Linked DNA regions of Caenorhabditis elegans. The protein of the gene in region 2 purifies or fractionates together with the protein of the main gene of each other region. This does not show direct contact. Each region holds a gene or a part of one and is shown on either strand. Other genes may lie near its edges.

Evidence for each region. Proteins that work in one complex are often made in the same cells at the same time.
Region 1: the proteins of teg-1 (region 2) and uaf-1 purify together in Caenorhabditis elegans (affinity purification with western blotting; one study listed by BioGRID). This does not show direct contact.

Annotation. Positions count from the first base shown.
Region 1 is NC_003281.10:1,073,513-1,078,245, forward strand, and holds the start of uaf-1 (Splicing factor U2AF 65 kDa subunit), read right to left. Parts: upstream 3,044-4,733; coding exon 2,814-3,043; intron 964-2,813; coding exon 668-963; intron 1-667. UniProt on the Caenorhabditis elegans protein: Necessary for the splicing of pre-mRNA. Binds to the polypyrimidine tract of introns early during spliceosome assembly.
Region 2 is NC_003281.10:11,311,711-11,318,966, forward strand, and holds teg-1 (GYF domain-containing protein), read right to left. Parts: upstream 5,346-7,256; 5' UTR 5,339-5,345; coding exon 5,201-5,338; intron 5,101-5,200; coding exon 4,795-5,100; intron 3,392-4,794; coding exon 3,119-3,391; intron 2,234-3,118; coding exon 2,024-2,233; intron 1,122-2,023; coding exon 987-1,121; 3' UTR 519-986; downstream 1-518. Other genes in the region: mcm-10 (Protein MCM10 homolog), read left to right, coding at 5,860-6,062, 6,125-6,221, 6,361-6,642.

The sequences.
Region 1 (4,733 bases), about 10 Mb from region 2:
AATTTTCACGAATTTTCCCGAGTTTTTAGTAAAAATATCCAATTTTTATTGAATTTTTCAGAGTTTTCAGTGAAAAAATCCAATTTTTCCGAATTTTCAGTAAAAAATCCAATTTTTCCGATTTTTCAGTGAAAAATTCAAATTTTCCCGAATTTTCACGTGAAAAACGGCAATTTTCACGAATTTTCCCGAGTTTTTAGTAAAAATATCCAATTTTTATTGAATTTTCGATGAAAAATTCGAATTTTTCCGAATTTTCGATGAAAAATTCGAATTTTTCCGAATTTTCAGTGAAAAAATCGAATTTTCTCGAATTTTCAGTGAAAACTGCCAATTTTCTCGAATTTTTCCGAATTTTCAGTGAAAACTGCCAATTTTCTCGAATTTTTCCGAATTTTCAGGCAAAAACTGCCAATTTTCTCGAATTTTTCCGAATTTTCAGTGAAAACTGCCAATTTTCTCGAATTTTTCCGAATTTTCAGTGAAAACTGCCAATTTTCTCGAATTTTTCCGAATTTTCAGTGAAAACTGCCAATTTTCTCGAATTTTTCCGAATTTTCAGTGAAAACTGCCAATTTTCTCGAATTTTTCCGAATTTTCAGGCAAAAACCGCCAATTTTCTCGAATTTTTCCGAATTGTCAGGCGAAAAATTCCATTTTTCCGTACCAACAACGGGCACTGCAGACTGTACAGATCCACGTGGAACCTGTCCAGCCGCCTGCATATTCTTGTACTCCATCGGTGTAGTTGTCTCGAATCCAGTCGGCGGAACATCCCAGAATCGGTACTTTTTGGGCTCACGAGGCTTCTGGGGCTCCGGCTCACGGCGCGAACGGGCTTCATCATCACCTCCACGACGTCTCGGCTCATCACGACCACCACCGCCTCGACGACGTTCACGGGATCGAGAACGATCACGATCACCTCCACCTCCACCACCACGACGTTCTCCACGATCACGACTGAAAATGGGGGGTTTTTGGGGTTTTTTGCCGGGAAAAATCGATTTTTTTGCGATTTTTTAGGTTAAAAAATGCGGATTTTCAGTGACTTTCAGCTAAAATCGCAATTTTCCAGTGTAAAAATCGATTTTTTTTGCAATTTTTTGGCTAGAAAAATTGCAATTTTTGGCAGTTTCGCAGGTTTTTGGCGGGAAAAATCGATTTTTTCGCGATTTTTTGGCTAGAAAAATGAGTTTTCATGCAGAAAAATTGCAATTTTTGGCAGTTTCGCAGGTTTTTGGCGGGAAAAATCGATTTTCTCGCGATTTTTTGGCTAGAAAAATGAGTTTTCATGCAGAAAAATTGCAATTTTTGGCAGCTTCGCAGGTTTTTGGCGGGAAAAATCGATTTTTTGCGATTTTTTAGGTTAAAAAATGCGGATTTTCAGTGATTTTCAGCTAAAATCGCAATTTTCCAGGGGAAAAATCGATTTTTGCGCACTTTTTTGGCTAGAAAAATGAGTTTTCATGCAGAAAAATTGCAATTTTTGTCAGATTCGCGCAGGTTTTTGGAAGGAAAAATCGATTTTTTAAGTTAAAAATGTAAATTTTCGCAATTTTCCACTGGAAATTCGATTTTTCGCCAACTTTTGGACAGAAAATTTGACTTTTCCGTGGAAACTCAGCTAAAATTGCGATTTTTTGAAGGTTTTTGGGCGGAAAGATGGATTTTTCGCAAATTTTTGGACAGAAAAACCATTCTTATTGCGTTTTTCAGTACAATTTGAGTAAAAACCGCCACTTTTTATTGTAAAAATTCAAAATTTTTAGGTAAAATTTGACCAAAGAACGCAATTTTCCACTGGAAAATCGATTTTTTGCGGTTTTTTGGACAGAAAATTAGACTTTTCAATGGAAATTCAGCTAAAATTGGGACTTTTTGGAGGTTTTTGGGCGGAAAAATGCGAATTTTTTTGGTGGAATTTAATTAAAAAATCTATTTTTGGCGAGTTTTTGAACAGGAAAATGGATTTTATCGTTACTTTTTAGGTTAAAAAAATGGGAATTTTCGTGGGAAATTTAGCTAAAATTGCGATTTCTCGCTTCCACGACTGAAAATTTCGGGGTTTTCGGCAGGAAAAATCGATATTTTACAACTTTTTAGGTTAAAAAATGGGAATTTTCGGTGGAATTTGACCAAAAAACGCAATTTTCCAACTGAAAATCGAATTTTTGCAAACTTTTGGACAGAAAATTTGACTTTTCCGTGGAAATTCAGCTAAAATTGCAATTTTTTGGAGGTTTTTGGAAGGAAAAATCGATTTTTTGCGATTTTTCAAAGTAAAAAATGCGAATTTTCGGTGGATTTTCAGCTAAAATTGCATCTTTTCCGCTTTTCCTGTGAAAAAATCGATTTTTCATAGATTTTTGGCAAAGAAAATGAAAATTTTGGTGGATTTCTTCAAGCAAAAATCGATTTTTTAAAGAGTTTTTTGGCAGGAAAAATGGGATTTTCGGTAGTGTTTTTCATGGAAAATCATCAAATTTCGCTCTGAAAATCCGATTTTGGGTCAATTTTCTTCAAATTTAGACCATTTTCTAGCGGAAAACTCGATTTTCGCAGAGTTTTCGACGAAAATCCTCGAATTTTTGCTCTAAAAATGTTGATTTTCTGGGTTTGAAGTCATTTTTAAGCCGTTTTTCATGCAAAAAGCGATTTTCAGCGTAATTCTGGCCAAAAAAAAACAAAATTTCCTCCTAAAAATCCGATTTTGGGTCAATTTTCTAGCGGAAAACTCGATTTTCGCCGAGTTTTCCACGAAAATTCTCGAATATTCCGTCAAAAAATGCAATTTTTTCCAGCTTAAGCACCTTCTCGAGCGTCTTCTCGTATCGCGATCTCTACTTCTCGATCGTTTTCTCTTTTTCCGATCATTATCATCCTCTCCACCACCACCACCAGTCGATGATTTCAGATTTTCTTCATTTTCCAGTGGTCCAGTGGTCGGCTGAATCGCTTCGAGACCTCCTTCACGTTGAGCAACGTCCAAAAATTGGCGTTCAATATCTTCAAGTTTCATGCCATCCTGGTGATCACTCATCTGGAAAATTGGGAATTTTCTTTAAAAAATAGAGCTGAAAATCCGGAGAAAATGGATGGAAAAATTTGAAAATTTGGGCAGAGGTTCCCCGGGAAAGTGGTCAAATGTGCTCCTGTGAGCAATTTCGGGTGGAAAATTCCAAAATTTTGTAATTTCTAATGCAAAAGTTTGGAATTTTCACACCAAAATCACCGATAGAGCACATTTGCCACGGAAAATTGAATTTTAATCTGAGAGTTTAGCACATTTTTGCGAGAAAAACTGAAAAAAAAATTTTGCAGTTTTCTGAGTAAAATTGGTTAATTTTTTCAGGATTTTCCTGAATTTTGGGCTCCGAGAGCATTTTTGGATACTAATTCCACATTTTTCAATTTTTCTCGAATTTTCACGTGAAAAACGGCAATTTTCACGAATTTTCCCGAGTTTTTAGTAAAAATATCCAATTTTTATTGAATTTTTCAGAGTTTTCAGTGAAAAATTCCAATTTTTCCGAATTTTCTGAAAAAAAAAACCGAAAATTCGGAGAAATTCACGAAAAAATGGGTTTTTTTAATGGAAAAATAGCTGAAAATTCGGTGGAAATCGCGAAAAAATGAGTTTCTCTGAAAAAAAAAATAGCCGAAAATCAGGGGAAAACCGCGGAAAAATGGAGACAATTGGGCGAAAATGAGGAAATTTGGCGATTTTTTGGAAAAATCGTTGAAAATTCGGTGGAAATCGCGAAAAAATGGAGGTTTTTCTGAAAAAATAGCTGAAAAACCCGACAAAATGGCGAAAATATGGAAAAAAATAGGGTGAAAGTGAGAAAATTTGGAGTTTTTCTGGAAAAAATTGCTCAAAATCGCGAAAAAATGGAGAAAATTGGACGAAAATGAGGAAATTTGGTGATTTTTTAAAAAATTGCTTAAAATTCGGTGAAAATGCTGGAAAAATAGCTCCAAAACGATAAATTGTGAGAAAATAAACGGTATTTGAGTGAATTTGCCGAAAAAATAGGAGTTTTTCTGGAAAAAATAGCTGAAAATCCCGAGAAAATGGCGAAAATATGGAATAAAAAGGTTGGAAATGAAGAAATTTGGGGTTTTTTGGCGAAAAATTGTTTAAAATTCGGGAAAAACCGCGAAAAAATGGAGAAAATAGGTTGGAAATGAGGAAATTTGGTGATTTTTTTACGAAAAAAAAAGAAAATTCGGTGAAAATGCTGGAAAAAAGAGCTCCTCGCTAAAATAGGCGAAATTTGAGTGAATTTGCCGGAAAAAACTGAGATTTTTCTGATAAAATAGCTGAAAATTCGGTGAAAATCGATAAAAAATAGCTTAAATGATGAAAAATCGCTGAAAAATGAGATTTTGCTGAAAAATAGGTAGAATCTATAAAATTTCGGGGAAAATGATGGAAATAATAGAAAAATGGGTAAAAGCACACACAAAATTAGGCTGAAAATCAATAAAATTAGGTGAAAAATGACAAAAATCTCCCAAAAAAATCGATAAAAAAATAGCTGAAAATCTGCAAAAAATCGATGAAGATATGCTGAAAATCGCTGAAAACGAGAGAAAAAATAACACAAAAATCCAATAAATTACAGGAAAAATGTTGCAATTTTATAGCAAAAAAACGGGGCTTAAAGGCACTGAAAATGTGTGAAATTTGACAAGAATTATGTGAAATTGGGGGATTTTCGGGTGGT
Region 2 (7,256 bases):
AATTTTTTAAAAAATATTTTCAATTCCGGCAAAAAACTGGATTTTCCGGCAATTTACCGATTTGCCGGAAATATTCAAATCCGGCAAATTGCAGATTTGCCGGAAATATTAAAATCCGGCAATTTATCGATTTGCCGGAAATATTCAAATCCGGCAAGTTGCAGATTTGCCGAAAATATTCAAACCGGCAAACTGTAGATTTGCCGGAAATACTAAAATCCGGCAATTTATCGATTTGCCGGAAATATTAAAATCCGGCAATTTATCGATTTGCCGGAAATATTCAAACCGGCAAATTACCAGAGGTTTCATTTTCGGAAAATGACCGGTTAAAAAAAAATTTGTCTTCTAATTTTTTACACCAAAATTTAGAAATTTAGCGAAGTTTAAAATTTAGAATTTTAAAAAAAATTTGTTTTTTAATGTAAAATCTAGAAATTTCCCAGAAAATTCAGCAGAAACTTAGCGGCTTTTGGAACCGTAAAATCTTAAAAAAAAAAGCTTTTTTAAAAAAGGAAAAAATTGGGGATTTTATATAATACAGTGCAGTTTTAGGGGCGAAAATAGGCCAAAAAAATGAATTTTCAAGTTAAAAACTTGAAAAAAAATGCAATTTTAGGACCAAAAAGGGCAAAAAAAAAACGGGAAAAAAAAAATTTAATTTACAAAAAAAAATTGAAAAAACCTCGAGAAATGTCATCGGAACTGTGATAAATATCATGTTGAATAGCGAGTTTTCGGTATTTGAAAAGTTTTCGGCACCGAATCATTTTTCCGACTTTTTTTCAGCTGTTTTCAGGCGGAAAAAGTGAGAGAAATGAATGTGTGTTCTAAGTGATGAGAGAGAGATAGAGAGTGAAAACGAGATTCAGAGAAACAAAAAAAAATGGGGGAAAAAATGAAAATGAAACAAAAAAAAATGAAATATGAATCATATAATTGCTAAAATTCAGGGGAGGAGGAGGAGAGGTTTTTTAGGAGAGTTTTTACAAATAAAGCTCGAAATCAATTCTGGCAACTGGATTAAAATGTCCATTTGTTCCAGAACGTCTGGCAACACCTTCTGCCGAAAGAAGTCCTTTTGATTGGCGATCCATCATTTCTGAAGTCGGAATCGGGCCCTGGAATTGGAAAAAATTTTTACTTTTTTTGAGACTTTTTTTCATTAAAAAAAATTTCAGAATTTTCAAAAAAAAATTTTTGAAATTTTTTTGACATATTTTAATTTATTTTTCGAACACATTTTCGGCAAACCGGCGATTTGCCGGATTTTTCAGCGTGAATTTTAATAAGAAAAAACTATTTCGATTAAAACGGGTCTAAACCTAACAAAAATTGAATTTTTTCGATTTCTGGATAAAAATTGGCTATTTTTGACATTTTTCACCAAATTTTCATGGAAATGTTCAAAGTTTTTGCTAAAAATAGGCTATTCTGATTATATCCCAAAAAATTGGTTTAAAAAAATCAATTCTTCATTTAAAAAAAAAAAAACTATTTTGTTAACACGAATTTCGCCAAAATCGTCCGTTTTTTCGCTGAAAAATTAGGATTTTTCGGTATAAAATCGAGAATTTCCGACAATTTTTCAACAATTTTTCAACTCAAAATTACCAAAAATTCAGGCATTTTGACTTTGTCTTGACTGAATTGTGAATTTTCAGATAATTTTTAATGTTTTTCTTCTAAAAATGCAATAAAATTGAAAATTTTCGAGAATTTTCCGAATAAATATGTTTAAGTTCAAAAACCAAGTTTATCCGATTTTTATTCAAAAAAATTCTTTTTTTTACTTTTTTTTTTTTTTTTTTTGGTAATTTTCTTACTTTAAAAATATGAAAATGTGTAGATTTTTCCATATTTTCTGCAATTTTCTTGCTCAAAATTGCAGAAAATTGGCTAATTCTAGTTTGTTTCACTGAAAAAATTATTTTTTTTCCTCTGAAATCAGTAAAAATTGGGATTTTTTCCAGTATTTTCTTTTCAAATATCAAATTTGTCGTAGAATTTCCCACTATTCTACCTCAATTTTCGCCTCTTCATTAGCCTTATATTCCCATTTAACACTATCATCTGCTTCTTCTTCTTCTTGCTCCATTGGAGCTCCTGCTGCTCTTGCTGCTCCAGTTGAAGTTGGCTCATCAGAGAACATATCCAACTCATCAGCGGCTGTACTTATCATTTTTTGCAATTGGAAATTGAATTTCTCACGATGCCATTCGTAGGCGTCCATCTGGAATTAAAATTCTGATTTTTTTTTTGAGTTTTTTGGCCAAAATTTGGAATTTTTCATATTTTTTATCGAAATTTTTTAACTTTTTTAACAAAAATGCTCATTTTTCGCTATTTTTGATGTTTTTCACCAAAATTTTGTGAAAAAATATAGGTTTTCGCAATGAAAATGCGCGCTATTTTTACGTTTTTCACTGAAAAAAAAAAGTATTTTAAATTGGAAAAATCCGAATTTTTTCAGATTTTAGCTGAAAATTGTCATTTTTCATCAAAACACCGGAAGAAATTGATCTAAAAGAAAAATAATCTAAATTTTCGGGTTAAAGAAAAATATTTTCGGCAAATCGCCAATTTGCCGGATTGTAATATTTTCGGCAAATCGGTAAATTGCCGGATTTGAATATTTTCGGCAAATCTGCAGTTTGCCGGATTGTAATATTTTCGGCAAACCGGCAATTTGCCGGATTTGAATATATTCGGCAAATCTGCACTTTGCCGGATTTGAATAATTTGGGCAAATCTGCAATTTCCCAAAAATTAACATTTCCGGCAAATCTGCACTTTGCCGGATTTGAATAATTTGGGCAAATCTGCAATTTCCCAAAAATGAACATTTCCGGCAAAACGGCACTTTGCCGGATTTGAATAATTTCGGCAAATCTGCACTCTGCCAGTTTTTTTCAGCGCGAATTTTGTGAAAAAATCGCATTTTTCACAAACGAATTAAATTAAAACCGGTCTAAATCTTGCAAAAATTGAATTTTTTTCGATTTTTGGCTAAAAATTGGCAATTTTTTCGACATTCGCGCGGGTTTTTTATGAATTTCGTTTCAAAAAATTGAGCGTAGCATGAATTTTCTGGAACTTTAAGCTGTGAAAAACGAACAATTCCAGCAGAAATGAGTTCATCAGCGAGCCCAGAGAGCTGTGAAGTTTCCTTCTGCCCATCAGTTGGCTCAAATGATTTTCCGGCTTTTTTGGCGGCCCAACGAAGTTTCCGTTCTTCAGCAGCACTTAATCCTTTCTTCTTTTTGAGCTCTGAAAGAGCTTTAGCCACTGTTTGATTGGGTTTCAGGAGGTTGACAAGTTGCTCGAAAATTTCTTTTTTTCGTGCATCACTCATTGTAATTGGCTCCGGCTCTTCGTCTTCCAAGGATTTCTGGAAATTTTGAGGAATTTTTATATTGAAATCAGGGGGGTGGGCGGCAATTGTCGGTTTACCGGAAATTTTTATTTCCGCCAAATTGCCAATTTACCGGGTTTTCAATTCCGGCAAATCCGGCAATTTGCCAGAAATTTTATTTCCGCCAATTTACCAATTTCCCAGGTTTTCAATTCCGGCAATTCCGGCAATTTGCCAGAAATTTTTATTTCCGCCAATTAGCCAATTTGCAGGAAATTTTTATTCCGACAATCTGCCAATTTGCCGGAAATTTTTATTTCCGACAGTTTGCCGATTTGCCGGAAATTTTTTTTCCGCCAAATTGCCAATATCCCGGGTTTTCAATTCCGGCAATTCCGGCAATTTGCCAGAAATTTTTTTTTTCCGCCAAATTGCCAATTTGCCGGGTTTTCAATTCCGGCAATTCCGGCAATTTGCCAGAAATTTTTTTTTCCGCCAAATTGCCAATTTGCCGGGTTTTCAATTCCGGCAATTCCGGCAATTTGCCAGAAATTTTTTTTCCGCCAAATTGCCAATTTCCCGGGTTTTCAATTCCGGCAATTTGCCGGAAATTTTTATTTCCGACAGTTTGCCGATTTGCCGGAAATTTTTATTTCCGCCAAATTGCCAATTTGCCGGGTTTTCAATTCCGGCAATTCCGGCAATTTGCCAGAAATTTTTATTTCCGCCAAATTGCCAATTTGCCAGAAATTTTTATTTCCGACAATTTGCCGGAAGTTTTCGATTCCCGCAATTTGCCGATTTGCCGGAAAAAATCGTATGCCGCCCACCCCTGACACATTTTGAAACTTTTTTAATCGAAAAATCGTGAAAAATTTGGAATTTTCTTCGGATTTTTAAAATTCTGCTACATTTTCCGAGAATTCTCGTCAATTTGGAGGATTTTATCAAGTTTTCCGCGAAATTTTGCAATATTTCTCTGAATTTCAAGCATTCAGGATTTTTTTGAACAATACAAGTGAAAATCGATTTTCCAGCCATTTTTAATGCAAAAATCCTGTTTTTTTTTTCGGAAATTTTGTTTTTTAATCGACTTTTAAACCGATTTTTCCGCCAATTCAGCTCAAAAATCCGTTGTTTTCAGTCAGTTTTAAAGCAAAAAAGTCAGGTAAAAATCGATTTTCCAGCCATTTTCAGTGCAAAAATTCGGTTTTTTCAATTTTTAACCAGAAAAACTATTTTTAAATCGATTTTTCCAGCTTTTATCAATTTTAGGGCGCAAAATCCAGGCTGAGATCGATTTTCCTCCGATTTTAGTGCGTAAAACCGTATTTTTCAAATTTAAAAATGAAAAATTCAGGTTTAAATCGATTTTTCGGCAATTTCCGCGTAAAAATCAGATTTTTTCTTCGATTTTTCCTCCATTTCCCGTGTCGAACCTTGTCCTCATCGCCCTCCCACTGATCTCCGGCCTTTTTCTTCACTAAACTCCAATCAATACCATCCAACCACGCGTCTTGAACATCTTTTGTCTTTTTATCGAAAATAAAGTTTCCAGTTTCATCGAAATGACCCTCTTCCTCGTCCTCTTTCATATTGAAAGCCGTAATTTTAATAGATCCATCAAAATCCACACCACAATCCTCTTGACCTTCAACTCTTCGGGTATCTAGACGTTTGTGATCCTCTTCTTCTTCTTCATCTGACTCTAATGTGTGGAATTTCTTTTTTTCCTCTTCGTCTTCCTGGAAAAATATCAAAAAAATAAATTTTTTCGATTTTTTTTTGAAAAATATCGATTTTTTTCGATTTTTCCCGGGTTTTTTCGCAAAAAAAGCCACTTACATCCGCATTTCCTGGTCTCTCCTTCACCACATCTTCTTCCATTGGAATATCCAATATTCCATCTTCAATTTCTCGTTTATCCCGCTTAAAAACTCTCGTTTCGATGTCGTCGGCGAAAGAAACGGCGCGTTTCGGCATTTTTTGGCTGAAAATGAGTGAAATTTCGTAATTTTTGCGAAAAATTGAGTCATTCGGTGATGGAAAATTGTCGAAAATCAAATAAAAGTTGGGATTATGCGCGGAAAATGAGAGAAAAAAAGAAAACCGATTTTTCGGCGAAAACATTTGATTGTGTGCAGTTTTGCGTGACGGTGTTTGCGGAGTTGGGCGCTATGGAGGGTGTTTTGGAGGACAGAGAATTGCCGCATTGGGCTTAAAATTTGAAGCGAATTTTTGTTATTGCAATGTTAAATGTGCAGAAAAAATTGATTTTGATCTATAAATCAATTAAATGTGAAATTCACAGCAAAAAATCAAAACCACGCCTATTTTTCTGGAATTTCTACTTCTCCGGGACTACTTTTCCAGTGTCTCCAGGTAGCGGGAATTGAAAATTTAAAAATTAAATTTATTTATTTATTTTTCACCGATTTTCCCCAGATTTTCTCTCATTTTCCGTCATTTTCGCTGAAATTTTCCACAAATTGTTCAATTTTCAGATGGATCCCCTAGATGACCTACTCACACAGCTCGAGGGAGTCGAAGAAGAGGAGCTAAAGCCTGTAAACCGAGCCCCGCGGCTTCTGAACATGGAAGAAGCCTGCGAAAATCAAGGTTCTAGTGAGAAACCCAGCGATTCTAGCTCGAAAAATCGATATGAAGATGATGATAGTGATGATGAGGAGCTTTATGTGAAAAAACGGTAGGGAAAAGCTCGAATTTCTCGAAAAATGCAAAATTTTCTCCAATTTTTTCTTCTTTCAGAGAGCTCACGGAGCAAGGAGCTCTTTTAAAGCGGCATCTGGAGAAGAATAGCTCAACGAGTGGGCCAAAGGCCACAGATGCTTGGAAAACTAATAAAGTATGGTGGAAAGTCGAAGAAAAATCTGGAAAAACCCAAAATTTTTTAATTTTTTTGGATTTTTTAAAATCATAACAATTACAACTACAATTTATCAAAAAAAAAATAACGCCAAAACCAAAAAAAAATTTTTTTTCAGAAATCAGTGCTCACCGGGCTCACGAAACCATCCACCGACACAGTAACCGTCGGAATTGTGAGATTCGACAAATTTCAAATATCGATTCGGAATCCGAAAATTTCGGCGACAAGTTTTGGAGCATTTACTGCTGGAATGAAGCTTGAAAAGCTATCAAATCTGAAACCAACGTCAAATTTCAAAGAAGCATGGTGCACGATTGGTGTTATTGTGGAAAAGGGTTTCAAGAAGAAAAGTGCAAATGGAAATGATTTTTTGATTTGGAAATTACATGATTTAAAGGTTTTTAGAACGGAAAAATGAATAGAAAATTCGGAAAATTCAGAAAAAAAACATCGAAAAAAAAATTTTTTTTTAGGTGTTTAATTAAATTTTTTAGAAAAAATTCATAGTTCTAAAACTTACAAATTCGTTTTTAAAAAATTCCTACTTTTAAAATTTTTCGTCGGATTTCTCGATTTTTGCTCCAAAACTACGGTCTCGACACGACAAACTTCTGTTAAATGCGAAAAGGTGTGCGCCTTTAAATAGTACTGTAGTTTCAAACTTTTTGGGATTTTTTCATTTATAAAATTGAAAGAAAATTCGAAAAATTGACAAAAAAACTGATTTTTTAGTGAAAAAAATTTTTTTTTTAATTTCCGAAAAAAAAAAAATCAAAATTCAATTTTTTTTTTGCTTTTTGAAAATTTAAGAAAATCCTATTTTTGAAATTTTTTTCTCCGACTTTTCGATTTTTGCTCCAAAACTACGGTCTCGACACGACAAATTTTTGTTAAATGCGAAAAGATGTGCGCCTTTAAATAGTACTGTAGTTTCAAACTTTTTGGGATTTTTTTCATTAATTAACAGAAAACTATGTAAAAATCGATGAAAGTTCCAAAAAAATTACAGTA